Linked DNA regions of Kluyveromyces lactis. The protein of the gene in region 1 purifies or fractionates together with the protein of each later gene. This does not show direct contact. Links are inferred from orthologs where the notes say so. Each region holds a gene or a part of one and is shown on either strand. Other genes may lie near its edges.

Region 1 (7,926 bases):
ATAACTTGTTCAAAGTCTTCTTCACCGTATCGCTGGCATTCGATTGGATCGCATACATGTATCTTTCGATCTCTTTGAATCCATACTCTTTCACTAGTTCTCCGACTAACAGGATCCCCTTTGTGTTGGCGGCGATTTGGGCCTTCAAATCGGATACGTTGTCAGCAAGCTTACGCGACCCACTACAACCAGGGTACTGTGCCGGTTCATCGAAAAACAATTTGACGACTTTCGCTTCGTCGAATATACCATCTTCTACCAACTTCTCACTGTATATGGCGGCACCTTCCTCGTACAACTCTCTTGAAAATGGGGGCATGGAACCAGGTAAGGATCCGCCGATATCTGCATGATGCGCTCTTGACGCTACATAGAACAAGATACGAGTCGCATCTTTGGGGTCGAACGCTGGTGTGATTACAGTAATGTCCGGTAGATGTGTACCACCCATCTCCGGATGGTTCGTCATTATTGAGTCGCCTGGTTTTAATTTACCTTCCCAGAGTTTTGCTTGCATCTTTATGCAAGTTGACATCGAACCCAAGTGCACTGGAACGTGAGGTGCGTTAGCCACTAAGTTACCATCTTTGTCAAATAGTGCACAAGAGAAATCTAGCCTTTCCTTCACGTTTGTCGATACAGACGTCTTTCTCAACTGATTACCCATCTGCTCTGCAATATCCATGAACCTGTGTCCAAAGATTGATAATAACACGGGATCAATTGTTTCTGAAGCTTCTGAGAGAGCCTTACTGGTCTTAGTGTTCTTTTCGATCTTGATAAACAGATGTGATTTTAAAATCGTAGCCGTTGAGTTTGGTGTCAATAAGTTAGTTTGGGTACCATCAGCTATGATGGCAGGTCCTTGTATTTTAGTGCCGATCTCCAAATCATCCAATTTGTACATAGGAGTCTCAACCCACCCTTCACCGAACATAACAGGTTTCCTGAATAAAGGTTCAGGAGCAGCCTTTGCTACCAATCTCTGTAGTTGAGAATCAATGTACTCTTCTTCTCTTACGTTGGATACACCAGTGGCCCTTACTCGCACATCATCCACTATGATCGATTTATCCTCAAACTTGAATCCAAACTCCTTTTTATGTAGTTCATGGAATTGGTTTGTGTAGCTTGTATCTCCCGATTCTAAGACCATTAAAGCGGTTTCTGTACCCTCATATCTCAAGTTCAAATATTTCTCCAATCTGATAGTCTCAGTGTTGAAGCCTTGTTGCTTTAGCGTGTCAATACATTTGGATGTGAGCCTATTGAATTTATCCTCAATCAACGCATTTGTTTCGCGATTACTTTCATCTAGCACGTAAGAACAAGGCTCTCTAGACTCTTCAACCACATCCGCAAGGAACATGCCATACGCAGAAAGAATGGAAGAATAACGATGAATCAAAACTGTATCAATTCCTAATGTTTCAGCGATGGATACGGCATGTTGACCACCAGCCCCACCAAAGGAAATAAGACGATGCTGCGAAATCACATGTCCTTTAGCCTCGGTCAAAGTACGGATTGGCCTAGCCATTGACTCGTTCGCAACTTTTAAGAACCCATAGGCAACTTCATCAACGCTCATCGAGGAATTTAGATCGTTGTTGATCTCTTCAGTAATCTTTTCGAATAATACCCTAGAAGCTTCAACGTCCAAGGGCTCATCTTCGTTAGGACCGAAGATATGTGGGAAAAATTCTGGAACTAATCTACCAAGATACAAGTTCGCATCCGTAATGGTCAATGGGCCTCCTTTACGGTAACATGCAGGACCCAGATGCGCTGTAGCTGATTCAGGGCCCACTTTGAAAAGACCATTGCTCCAAAATAATCTGGAAGATCCACCTGCAGCAACTGTATTGATGTCTAGTTGTGGAGTTTGAATCACGATTCCAGCAGTGGTGGTTTCGAACACATGTTCCAAGATACCATTACCATACCTGCTGACATCTGTAGATGTTCCACCCATATCAAACCCGATTAATGGGATCTTGTTCTCTGGATTGTAACATGTCGCAGAATATCCCACCACACCGCCTGCAGGTCCCGAGAGAATGGCCCTTAAACCTGAAAATTTATGTGCATCAACAAGACCACCATCTGATTGCATAAATTGAATACTAGTGTCTTCTGCTTTGTCCAAACCTGACTCAATTCCTTCGAGGTACGATTCGATCACTGGAGTCAAGTAAGAATCAGCAACGGCTGAATTTGCCCTCGGAATATACTTGATCATAGGCGATAATTCAGAAGATAAGGAAACATGAGTGAAACCAATCTCTTTAGCGATCTTATAAACCTTTTGTTCATGTTCTTGGTATGTATATGAATGTAAAAAGGCAACGGCCAATGATCTAATCCCGGTAGCATACAAAATGTTCAAAGTAGTTCGAACTTCTTCTTCATTAATTCTTTGCAACACTCTAACAGTTTCTCCAGACTTGCCTAACACGAGATCATCTTCTGATTCCGGCCGAGTCCTCTTACCCTTTGGATCTTGAGCATAATCTGCTAGCGTTACTCTCTCATTGACTTCTACAACAGTCTCATATAGAGGTCTAGGTCTCTTGATAGCCAAATCAAAGATATTAGGCCTAGTCTGATCTCCAATTACTAATGCATCCTCGAAACCTTTAGTAGTGACTAACGCACATCTTTCTCCGGTTCTTTCCAATGCACAATTGGTTGCTAGTGTGGTACCCATCCTAATGGTATCAACACCAGAGATATCTAGATTCTGACCTCTAGGTATCGATTTACCTTGACAAATCTCGAGTAAACGTCTTATACCTTCCAATGGAGCGTCTGGGTAGTTCCTAGGGTCTACCGATAACAATTTGATAACAACATCATCCTCTGGATTGCCCGACCCAGGGTTTGCAATACAGTCCGTGAAAGTACCACCTCTATCAATGGCTATCTTAATCTTCGACATTCCTTCAGTTCAGTTCGGATTCACAATTCCAAAGGTTCTGAATATCTGAAATAACAATGGATTGCAGGTAGTATATCTGGCCTAATCAATGGCTGTAACTGAAACTGCAGCGTAAAATTATTGTCTTTACCCTTTGTGAGAGTCTTTTCCTTTATTCCAAGTGTTTCCTCTGTGACTTCAGGTTTGATGAACTCCAGGTCGCTTTTAACCGGGGTCTACAAATTCGATGCGAAATACGTAGAAAGGATACAAGAGGACCCGCAGTATGGCCCCAAAGACCTCATATTGTATCAATCTCTAACTGGCAACTATGAAATACAACACTCTAATGTGCTGTTTTGTCTTACTTGAATCTACATAGCATTGAATAAACTTTAAGCATCCAAGTTGGAACTGGAATTGATTCTATTCATGCGAAGTCTGCTCTGCATTAGTCTAGATGAAACAGAATCGTACTTGCTCGATTGAGTAGACACTGTAGGCCTTGGTGCGGTACCTGATGAAGGCTCGCTCATGAAATTATGAGACGTATTTGATAATGTGGACGACGCCTGCGACGTCACATTCGAATTTGAAGAAGATACGAGACCTCTGAAAGCAGAAGACCCGGGAGTCCTTCTTTGAGGTACGGACCTGGATTCCTCTATTGAAACAGGTATTTCTGATTGTGAAACCTTTTCTGCACCACTACTATGCCTATTAGAAGAAGAGAACGGTCCAGTGATCTTTTGCTTCACAGACCCAGACAACTTTTCCTCTGGTCTGTCTCCAGTATGACCTAACCATGCCGGGAACCCTTGGAACGGTTCCTGGCTAGAGTAATACTTCACTAGAGCTTTGTGTACCAACGTTGAATTTGGTGTATCGCCATCATGTTCAGTTTTTACTGCTAGATGTTGAATGGATGAGGATAACGATTTCGTTCCTGACTTCACTTTGCTCCACAGATTACCGGACCCATTGCTATTCGACATGATCGGCTCCAAAGATGTTTCACTGCTGAATATGTAAAGTATACCGATGGACAAATGTTCTGATTCGCTTCGTTCAGTTGATCCTTGTTAGTCCTGTATGTTTTCTTACAAGTAGTTGTTGAGAGTATTATAATATGTAACTAATTATAATTATATGAGAAGAGATGCCAAACTGTAACTGATACAAAAAGAACACTCCAATAACACACTATAGACAACACCCACCAGTACGATACGTGCCACAAATAGTAACTCCAAAGATAACGGGATTTAAAGCAATATAGCTACTTTGTTGATATACATACGTACACGTTAATATATATAGAAGATGGGAAAAAGAATCATGCAATTCACTACCAGAGAGAGCATTCTTTAGATTTCAAACCAACGTATATGAGTGCTTCAAGCAATGGTTTTCTCTTTTAGGTAAATACCGTATTTCTCCTTTAGTTCCTTCATGATAGGATCGTTGATAGCTGGAGAGTATGGAGCAACCAAACCTGGGCCCTTGATGGTACCGTCCAAGACGAATTTAGTAGCGATGGCGACTGGGTAACCGACAGTAGCAGCCATTGAGGAGTATCCACCGACCTTACCGTAGTCCACTAGAGTAGAGGTTCTAGTTTCAGTCGTTCCGTCGGCCCATTCGATACCGAACTTGTGTTGCAAGACGACTAAATCTCTTTCACCTTCTTCGTATTGCATCAATTCCTCTAGAGTAGCACACAAGGTGTCCAAGACATTACCTCTAGCGTTGAATGGCTTGTCAGAGAACAAACCTAACCAAGCAAGACCAGAAAGGATTCTTTCTCTATCGTCGTCTGATTTCCATTGTGTCTTTGAATCGATGGCCTTAATTAGATCCTCTTTCTTTTCTGAAGCAGCACCTAAGTATTGTGCAAGAGCCTTGTTCCAAGGCTGTGGAGAAGCAAACAATTCGTTTGGTTCGTCCTTTAGCATACCGATATCGACCAAAGCCTTCACGAATTCTGGGAAACCTTGATATCTTAGAGTACCTCTGATGACGGTATCAGCTTCTGGAATATGGTACAATTCTTTGAACAAAGTGGAATCTCTGTTTGGGTAACATACGAAAGAGTAACCTGGGTAGATGAAGTAAGGCTTAGCTGAGGCCATCAAATCTTCGGATGACACAGTCTCGATCTTACCATCTTTCCAGTACTTAGCACTGTTTCTCAATGCCAACAAGACACCTCTTGAAGACCAAGAGAACTTGTAACCCAATGGATTGTCAGAATCTTCTGGAGCTGGTAGACCACCACAGTACGACACAAACGACTTGATCTTACCACCAACCTTGTGCACTTCGTCAATGGTCTTGACAGCGTACAAATGGTCGATACCAGGGTCCAAACCAATTTCGTTCATGACGGTGATACCAGCTTCCTTGATAGCAGGTTCCAATTCTCTTAAGGCATCGGAAATGTATGAAGAGGTAACAACGTTCTTCTTCAATCTGATAGCAGATTGAACCACAGCTGGATGGTAAGTGTATGGGATCAATGAGATCACCAAATCGTGGTCAGCCAATGCAGCGTCCAATTGTTTTGGATCGGAAACGTCCAATGAGATGGCATTAGAACCAGAAGCTTTGGCCAAAGCTTGAGCTTTGTTCAAAGTTCTACAAGCGACGGTGACTGAAATACCATCAGTAGCGGACAAAACGTCGACAACAGGTTGAGCAACAAAACCAGATCCAAGAAGTAAAACTTTAGACATCGTTAATACGTTGGTTGCGATCACAGAAAGAGTATTTTCTTGAAGAGATGATGATCTGTCTATTATGGCAGGAAAGATAGCAGGTTGCAATTCTGTTACCTCAACTTATATAGTCACTATATATATATATATATATATATTACAAAAGTCAGTAAATCATCAAATCAACAAGAGTAGTACCAGTAGTAGCAGCTCATCAAAAACTCACTATTCCTGCTCTCTGTCGTTATCCATCTCGAGCGATGTGCCATTGAGATGGAATTTTACAGGTTCCGGTTCACCAATGTGTTTTGCGAAATTCCATTGGAATTTCGACAGCCGAGGTACAATCGAAACGGCAAAGCTAGACAGCCAGACAGCCAGACGGGGGGACCACTGGTCTGGGGACAACCCACCATCTATTAGTCATTCTACAAACTGAATGAAGCTCGATGAGGAGGGAACTGAGTTCCGATAAAGACTTGAAGACATGTATGGGATAGTCAGTGTACGTTGGTATGCACGTGATTTACGTTGAGGTATGGGGAAATCAAGTTGGTGGTAGTGGCGTGTAGGCCACTACCACCACCACCACCACTGGCATACCCCCTTAGGGCATGAACACACTTCGTGTATTTATCTCAAAGCTCATCTCATCGCCCATACAAAAATTTTTCAAAAATTTTTCACTTTAAAAAGGTCCGTAGCAGAATTGCATCCCATCTCATCTCATCACCACTTTACAACATTACATATTTGTACACATACATATTCTTTCTGTTTCTTAAACAGCATGGGACTTTATCTCCATGTCTGTGACGTATTATTCTAGATAGCCATGGTAAACGAATCCCATATATCGACTCTTAATTCTTTCCAACATGATGCGAAAGCGTCCTGTAAGCGTTAGGAGGCTGGCCACAGAGTGGATTTGTTGATCAAGAATTTAATCGTTCTTACCTTATTCACAACCTTTCTATTTTGAAGGCCAGAAACAGTAACCAGCCGTGTGTCTGTGTTTGTTTTTTTTTTATTACTTTAGAGCATCATCATATAAATATACTCTCTTTGTAGTGATTGTGTTCTTCAACGGCATGCTGTTGATCCCAAATGTCTCTTTGGAACTTGAACCAGTTCGGCAATGCCTCTTCAGTGGGGACTCCGATTGAAAATGCGTTTTTAACGTTCGATGCCTGATAGTAGGTGTACTCATTGCGTTCTCTCTTGTTGAATGCCAAACGATATCTGTTTCCGAAAATGCCTAATGCAGACCTGGAGTGTTTTATCGGAAGCTCATGTTCCTTTGCATCCTCTTCTGGTTTCAGTTCCATCGTATGGATCATGCTCATCATGTGCTGAGGTAACTCCGGAGGCATGGATAGATCAGATTCTTGCACAGTTTGTATTTGTTGCTGTTCTTGCTGTTGCTTTTCTTCCACTGAAAGATTATCCATCCGGGAAGTCACGGTGGAAGAATCTGTATCGTGGGATTCCTGCTGGTTTGGTTGCTCTTCTTCTTGTATTAGCCGTATATCTATCAATTCCAAAAACGTCTCTGCAAAGTAGTTCTTGTTCTTCCCTGTGAATAGCCTGTACTCGCTGATTATCGAGGATAGTTCCCATTTCTGAATCTTTCTCAATATTCCAATCACAGCGGACGTCTTATCCACTAACAATACGTTATGGTACGAGACATCTAACAGTATCCGGAATATTCGCCGGATGCTCTGACTCTTGATTAGCATCAAATCGTCTTGGTCCGTGAGTGTGTAACTGTAGTGACAGTTATCACAAAGACTCTTCCGTCTCGTCTCACCATGATTCGCAGAAGATTGACGCTTTTTGTGATCTGGGGCTACCAAAGAACTCGAATCACCAGAGGTCTTAATGACAAAGTAATCTATGCCGTTAGTGGCGAAGAACTCTTTGAAGAAATTACTCGGGATTTGACCACCGATGAATATGATCGTATTTAAATTCAAAGTCTCCAAAAATGATAGGTTAATGGTCTCAAGTTTACTGCATCGATAGATACCTTCCTCGGGAATCCCGAAATTCGCTGGAGGAACTAACATAGCTGATGGTTTCTATGACCCTAGAGTTGTATCTCCTCACCTGTCCCCTTGGCTTCAGCACTGATCTTTCTGCCAATCACCTTTTCTATCATTGTGATGTGCACATGAAGATCTTTGTTCCTTTAAATTTCATCAAGCTCGAACCAACTTCAAAGGGTTGTGACTTAGAGAAAGAAGGAACAAAAAGGGAAGACAACAATAATGTTTCGGTGATATG
Region 2 (6,484 bases), on another chromosome or scaffold:
AGTGTAATGTTTCGTCAATAAAGGTAGTATTCTTAAAATCATCAACTCACAAAGGTCAACATCTGAGAGAGCAATCGAAAATCGTATTATGGCCTCTTTTAACACCGATTTCACAGTATTGGGAAATTTGTCTGATTCACTGATTGATCCAAACCAGGATAAAATGAAATTGCTGATGATGTTATTGAGTAAGATATCAATTTCTTTTGATAATGCTTCGTTATTGGGGAACAAGGCTTCTTGACCGGCAAAATTATCATCATCTGAAGTTTTGGTAATAGGTTTATCACCTGTGAACCTTAGCGTTGGTTTTGTTGGGAGCACCCGAGGTTGTTCATTTAATGCAAGATATATCCAAATGATTGACAAAAGAGACGCAACCGATAGGACAAACAAACACTCCCCCCACCCCAAGAAGAAGGGAACCACGAACAAAACATGCCACTTGAAACTGGGCATTTAGAAATTCAATATATGGACTGCTGCCAATGGAATGCTGTTAAGCCGCGTCTTGGGCAGTATCTTTTCGACAGTGGAATAATTTAGCTTGTTTACACTATTTGTTGAAAACCTTGAAATGAACTAAATGCGTTTAAATCGTCTATCTAACGAGAATTTTTATATACAACATGTACGTACAATGGAGGGATGATGCTGCAAGAAGAAAATAAAGAGAACATCAATGTGAACTTTTACGCTTGTGTGTACCCTTCTTATCCTTCTTATCCTTCTTGTCTTTCCTATGCTTATCCTTCTTGTCTTTCTTATGCTTACTCTTTGGCTTGTCAACCTTATGCGACTTCTTCTTCTTCTTCTTCTTCTTCTCGTCTTTGCTCTTTTTATCTTTCTTCGATGTCACTTCAGAAACAGCCAGTTTAACTATAGTAGATCCATTGTTGGACGGCAGATCTGTTTTAATGGTACCTTTCAACACTTCACCTCTAACAAATGATCGATAAAGTGGTGAATCGCTCTTTGATATGGAAGAAGCGACGACTTCGTTTTGTTTGAACGAGATCCCATCGGACCCGCTTTTGATGTCCAAGTTTCGAAGTTGTCCGTCGAACAAACGTTCCCACCAGGCTTCACTGTCATCATGTCCTGGTGCACATCCAAGCCCTTTCTTATCTTTCTTGTGTTTCACAAGAATCGGTTTTTTCAGTCCTCCGTTCCGTAAGGCCTCACCTTCTTGCCAGCCATACGATTTAAGGTACCCTTTACTGTCCATGGGTAATATATGGTGGAACTGAGGTATAATTATCGGGGATTCACAATGGTAGATCAGCAAACAGATCGGTAATCTTACCAATGTCAATGTCACTTTAATTGCTGTATATCATCTTCTCATCTCATCTCATCGCGAGTTGAAGAATTTCTTTTCAAAGAGAAACATTTCGATTGTGGTCACGTGAACACAGTCTTCATCATTACCCGGAGCAATAGCATCACGTGCCACGGTTTTTCTTCTTTTCCTGTGTCATTTAAGGTTGTCACCACACTGCCAAGACTTACTCTATGGAGGATCTAAAATTACTTAACACATGGGGCTACACCGTGGCTGGCTCCATGAGTTGAGGCCATGAAACGTGTACGTTTCATGCTCCGCCTGAGACAAAACCACAAAACCCCAAGAAACCTCTAATTAATTGGTATTCAAAACACACAACTCCACAGATAGACACGGCGTGTGTGTATTCTGAGTGGGCTTTAAACTCTAAACTCTAAACTCTAAACCATGTACATCAAGATCTCCGGCACGTGACCTGTGTTTAAATAATCACTCAACGAGCATATGGCACCTTGAGTGATTATAAATCCCCAATTTTAGCAAACAGGGCTGGCTGGATCGATGCCCGGTCCGAACAAAAACGTGTAGAAAACCGTTTTAAATCAGTAAACAACGAGAACGGGCGAAGACTTGCTAAAAATACACTGACAAACGTGCGTATGTGATGCTAACACCGTTCCTTTCGCTTCCTTTCGTTTCGCTGTTGCGATGAGCAAAATGGTGAAAAATTTTTTTTTTCACCTTCCCACGGTGTGGACAATGGCGTGGCTCATTCCGACCTACTGAGAAAGAGACCTCAGAGAAAGACTCCAGAGGACTCGAGTGTCATCGACAGCGATCCTGGGCGATTCGGAATGGGGCCTAGGGCTAGACACTAGGAAACCTGCGTCTTTACGATCTTGTGTCATGTGTCATGGTGCCACGATTTGTGTGTAATGACGGAGAAAAATTCCAACTCTGGCGGTGTATGTGTGCTCGTGTGCCCTGAGAACATTTTAGACGTTTTGAACATTCTCGCATGTGTGTGTGGTCATTATTATTTCATTACCTAATTGCTAAAACTCAGCTCACCTTTAGTTGAGATTAAGGCACGATGTCCATAATCTTTTTATATAATACATATATATAAGCAATATATATATTGGGTATATGGTGAAAATAGTAGCTGAGGGGATTTCAAGTGTAATCACGAGATAGATAGGGAAAGAGAAAACCTTTTCACAAGCCAGTGAAGCCGAGGATACCTGTCTGCGCAATACCTACTAGTTTACGATGTCAGCATTCAACGATTATTGTACCGTTTGTGGCCAATTGATTGAACGTGGTAATTGCGATGCTCAATTGGATAATGACAGGTTATACTGTTCTTCTCAATGTCAAGAAAATGATAGAATGACCATTGAGAATTTAAAGTTAACCAATGAGTTGGTCGGTACTCCTGCTTCTCTCATCAGATCCCCTCTTTTACAACCTTTGGATCGAAGCACCGGAAGTAGTACGTCTTCCACGATATATGATCTTCTAGATCGAGATCAAGATGATATGGATTTCGATCTGGAATTGTCACTGGATAGGAACACATTAGGACATGGGGCTTCACTTCCGATGATGACGATACCGCGTTCTGTCGTTGGGAAGGATCAAGAGTTTGTCAGTTACACGGATCATACTGCTGAGGATAACTACAAGCTTTGGTTGAACTATAATTTGACAGGATAGTTAAGAGGATTCCTGAACATCACAATAACTTTGCAATACTTAAACACAAACACAACACAAACACACTCACTCTCTTTATGAACAACACGCTATGATTATATGGGCTCTCTTATGCTGGCCCCTTTTCCTCCTCCAGGTGGAACTCCTGGCACAATCGCTTTCACACATTTTCTACATCGAAGATAGATAAGATACAGCAGTACTTTCTGATATTATATAGAATATGTTTATGATGTATACCCCCGCCATGGCGACTTTAACGATCTCACATTTTGCATTTTTTAATTAACATTTTATTTATAAGACTCTTCCTTCATCTTATATTGGTTAACCTAGTCGTGTTCACATGGATCTTGATATCCAAATCATCGGTGCTCTCCTCAATCCGCTTGATCCGATCTTGTTGAGAATCTATCTCCTTACCAGTGGTAATCGCAAGTTTCTTTAACCTACCACTGATTTGTCCAATCTTATCCAAGTTCTTGTCGATTTCCATTTCCATTTCATCATCTTCTTCGTCGTTCTCGAACTGATACCTTTTAGCCTTCTCTAAGATCTGCTGGTTCTGGTACCGATCACGAACTTCAGATGGACCATGTCCACTCGACATGGCATTCTCGATACGTTTCGTACTTTGGTGTAACGTCGACGTGATATCCTCTTGGTTTTGTTTGTCCTGCATCCTTTGTAACTTTATCTTATCTTCCGCTTCGCGTGCACGTCTCTTACTATGGAACGGATTCGATACATGGACCGCTAAAATGTTCCGGTTTAACTTCTTCAATTCACTCACTTTATCATCGGCAACTCTGTTCTGGATTTGCATTAAATTCAGGTTTCTTTCCACATTGTTCAATTTCTCCGATTGATGTCCTAACATACCGATGGTATTCATACCAGCTAATTCAGCATCCTGTGCCATCTTTAGCGTGTTTCTCGTACTGGCAACTGAACTCTGTTTTGTAAATTTGATCTGTTGCTTGATCCCATCTACTTCTTCATCTTCTTCTTGTTGTTCAGCACGCTGACTTTCTTTTTGAATATCTTCAAATGTCTGATAACCCTTTGCAGGGGTCCCAATACCCTCGTTCTCATGAATGGAATTGTTTAAATCATCATCATCACCGTTGCCATTGCGTTGAACTCCCTTAGGATTATCAATTTCTGGCCTAATTGTCTCATTGAGATCTATTTCGTCATCAGCTCCGGACCGTTCGAAATTAAATTCACGGTCGTTTGATCTGGTTGCAGATGTAGAGTGACGAGGTGAGGCATAAGATCTACTTGAAACATCAGAAGCCGCCACATTTGGAGTAAAGCCCTTATATGCATTCACGCTACCAGAATTTGAATACGAATTTGTTCCATACGGATCCTGACTGTTCATGTTAGCATAAGGGTTACTAGGTCTCTGACCGGTAGCACCATTATTATTGCTGCTAGATGCCTGCGGAGACGGACTTGCGTATGTATCACCACTATAGCTGTTACTGCCATAGCTTTTGTTGCTGTAGCTATTATTCATTGATCCATACGGGTTATTGTTCTGCTGCAGTGGCGCGTTGTAACCGGTATCATATGGAGAAGCACTTGCATTTCCATAGGGAGAGGAATCACTGTTCCCATACGGAGATGCATTATCATTGCTATATGGATCAACGTAGTTGCCCGTGTGTCGAGCGCTGGCAGAAGCGTTTCTATTGTTAATCATGGAGACTTCATCGTAAGGAGAGTTGTTCAAATCATCCAACTGCTGTCGCTCAGAAGGCTGAGCTCCAGGATTCGCATATTGTTCATATCCTTCTGGTGCATAGACCTTACTTTTGACCTTATCGTTAGCAAACTTCCCATATGCGGCAAACTTTTCTCTTCTATTTGATGGTGTAGTCTTGGTGGAAATTCCTAACTCGTTCAAATATTCACGGTTTTCTTCGGGGGTAGCCTCTGGAGGTGGCTTGATCTTGAAGAACTTCTTAATACCCATGGTTTCACTACGGTAACAGCAACCTTTTAACCTTATTTGATCGATGTTCCCCTTTTACCTTGTCTTTACCTATCTAAAAATTGATGTTAAAGGAACTACAACTTTTCGATTCTTTTGTTTCATTTAAATTTAAAGGTTTCTTTTGGGTCCAGTAGTACTTAGTGAACCACGATGCACAAAATACAAAAGAAAGAAGGAAATAAACAGTATGGGGTTGATGCAAATGCCAAAGAGCAATCAAAATAAAAATTGTACTATACAGATCCAGAGATATACACCAATATTACATTAAAAAATGGGGCGATAATGGGGGCCAAAACGATATAAATGACAGAAGAGAGCGATTGTATCAATTCCTTTTATGAGTAAGTTTCGATCAAAGTATCACGCAAGTTACCAGAGATAGCTTCTGGTTGAGCGTCTTGTAGACGGAAGATAGATTCGATCACACTTAATTCTGGAGCGGTGGTATCTAGACCAGTAACTGCCAAATAGTCGTTCACGACCATACCAGCACCGACGACTTGCGAACCACGGTTCACAGTACCAGCAACTAGTGGGACTTGCAACAAAGAGGAAAGTTCTTCTTGGTCTTGTACTGTAGTCTGAGGATGCACTAGACCACCTTGGTTAGACAACGCACAATATGAACCAACAAGAACGTTACCCGAAATTGTTTGACGGAAAACTTCAACACCTAAGACATCGGCAATCAACTCCTCAGTTTCTCTGTCGATGTCTGGATGAACCAAAGCAACATAATCATTACAACAGATAACATTACCTAACGCAGATAATCTCTCCTCAACTCTTTGAACCTTCACAGCATCTGGCAAACAGTTTCTCAAATGTTGTAATTCTTGGTCGGTAGTTTGAGTTGGAACCAATAACCCTCTACGGTTACCAGCAGTCATACGACCAACAATCCTCGTACCTGCAATAGTGGTATGAGCAATAGGAATAGCATCTCCTAATTCGGCTTCAAACGCAGAATAAAAGTTCTCCGAACCACCAAGTGCCACCAAACAGTACGAGTTAGTTAGCTTCGAAAACACACCAATTTCGTTAGAATTCTCAAATTGTGTCCTAGTCGCCATAATTTCAGTTGATTTATCTGCAGTGGTATACTGGCGTAACAAGCAGAACTAGTGTTTATAAGTCAGAAGAACTGTACTAATTCAAGCCGAATCAACCATCCGCAAGATGAGATGAGATGAGCTTAGAAATTATCCAGTGAAATCTTTAAAATTTTCCATATTGCAGTGTTTTAAAGAAACGAAACACAAATTAGGTTACCCGGAGAAGAACACACATACAGTACTATATGGGTATCTCGTACCCTTATAGATGTATAAATTTGATCAGTGAGAGTTATCCAACAACCGTTCGAAGCTTAGACGAGAAATAGCTCTCCATTTCACATTCTTTCTTCTGATCACCAGACGATTCAACGCAGGGTATACCGTACACCTGAGCGTGTTTTATTTGTTACC

What was found. The genes of interacting proteins can lie anywhere in the genome.
Region 2: the proteins of MSO1 (region 1) and SEC9 purify together in Saccharomyces cerevisiae (affinity purification with western blotting, with the first as the bait; 4 studies listed by BioGRID). This does not show direct contact. The link is inferred for Kluyveromyces lactis from reciprocal best matches to the Saccharomyces cerevisiae genes MSO1 and SEC9.

The regions. Positions count from the first base shown.
Region 1 is NC_006039.1:1,659,193-1,667,118, forward strand, and holds MSO1 (Mso1p), read right to left. Parts: upstream 3,916-7,926; coding exon 3,316-3,915; downstream 1-3,315. Other genes in the region: KLLA0_C18700g (uncharacterized protein), read right to left, coding at 1-2,941; KLLA0_C18711g (uncharacterized protein), read left to right, coding at 3,128-3,292; LYS9 (saccharopine dehydrogenase (NADP+, L-glutamate-forming)), read right to left, coding at 4,318-5,655; KLLA0_C18755g (uncharacterized protein), read left to right, coding at 5,720-6,076; OCA4 (Oca4p), read right to left, coding at 6,684-7,709. UniProt on the Saccharomyces cerevisiae protein: Involved in secretion. Component of the secretory vesicle docking complex.
Region 2 is NC_006040.1:170,557-177,040, forward strand, and holds SEC9 (Sec9p), read right to left. Parts: upstream 4,992-6,484; coding exon 3,321-4,991; downstream 1-3,320. Other genes in the region: MDM1 (Mdm1p), read right to left, coding at 1-459; TMA23 (Tma23p), read right to left, coding at 680-1,228; ECL1 (Ecl1p), read left to right, coding at 2,561-3,007; TIF6 (translation initiation factor 6), read right to left, coding at 5,351-6,088. UniProt on the Saccharomyces cerevisiae protein: Component of a SNARE complex that may be the effector of SEC4 function in exocytosis.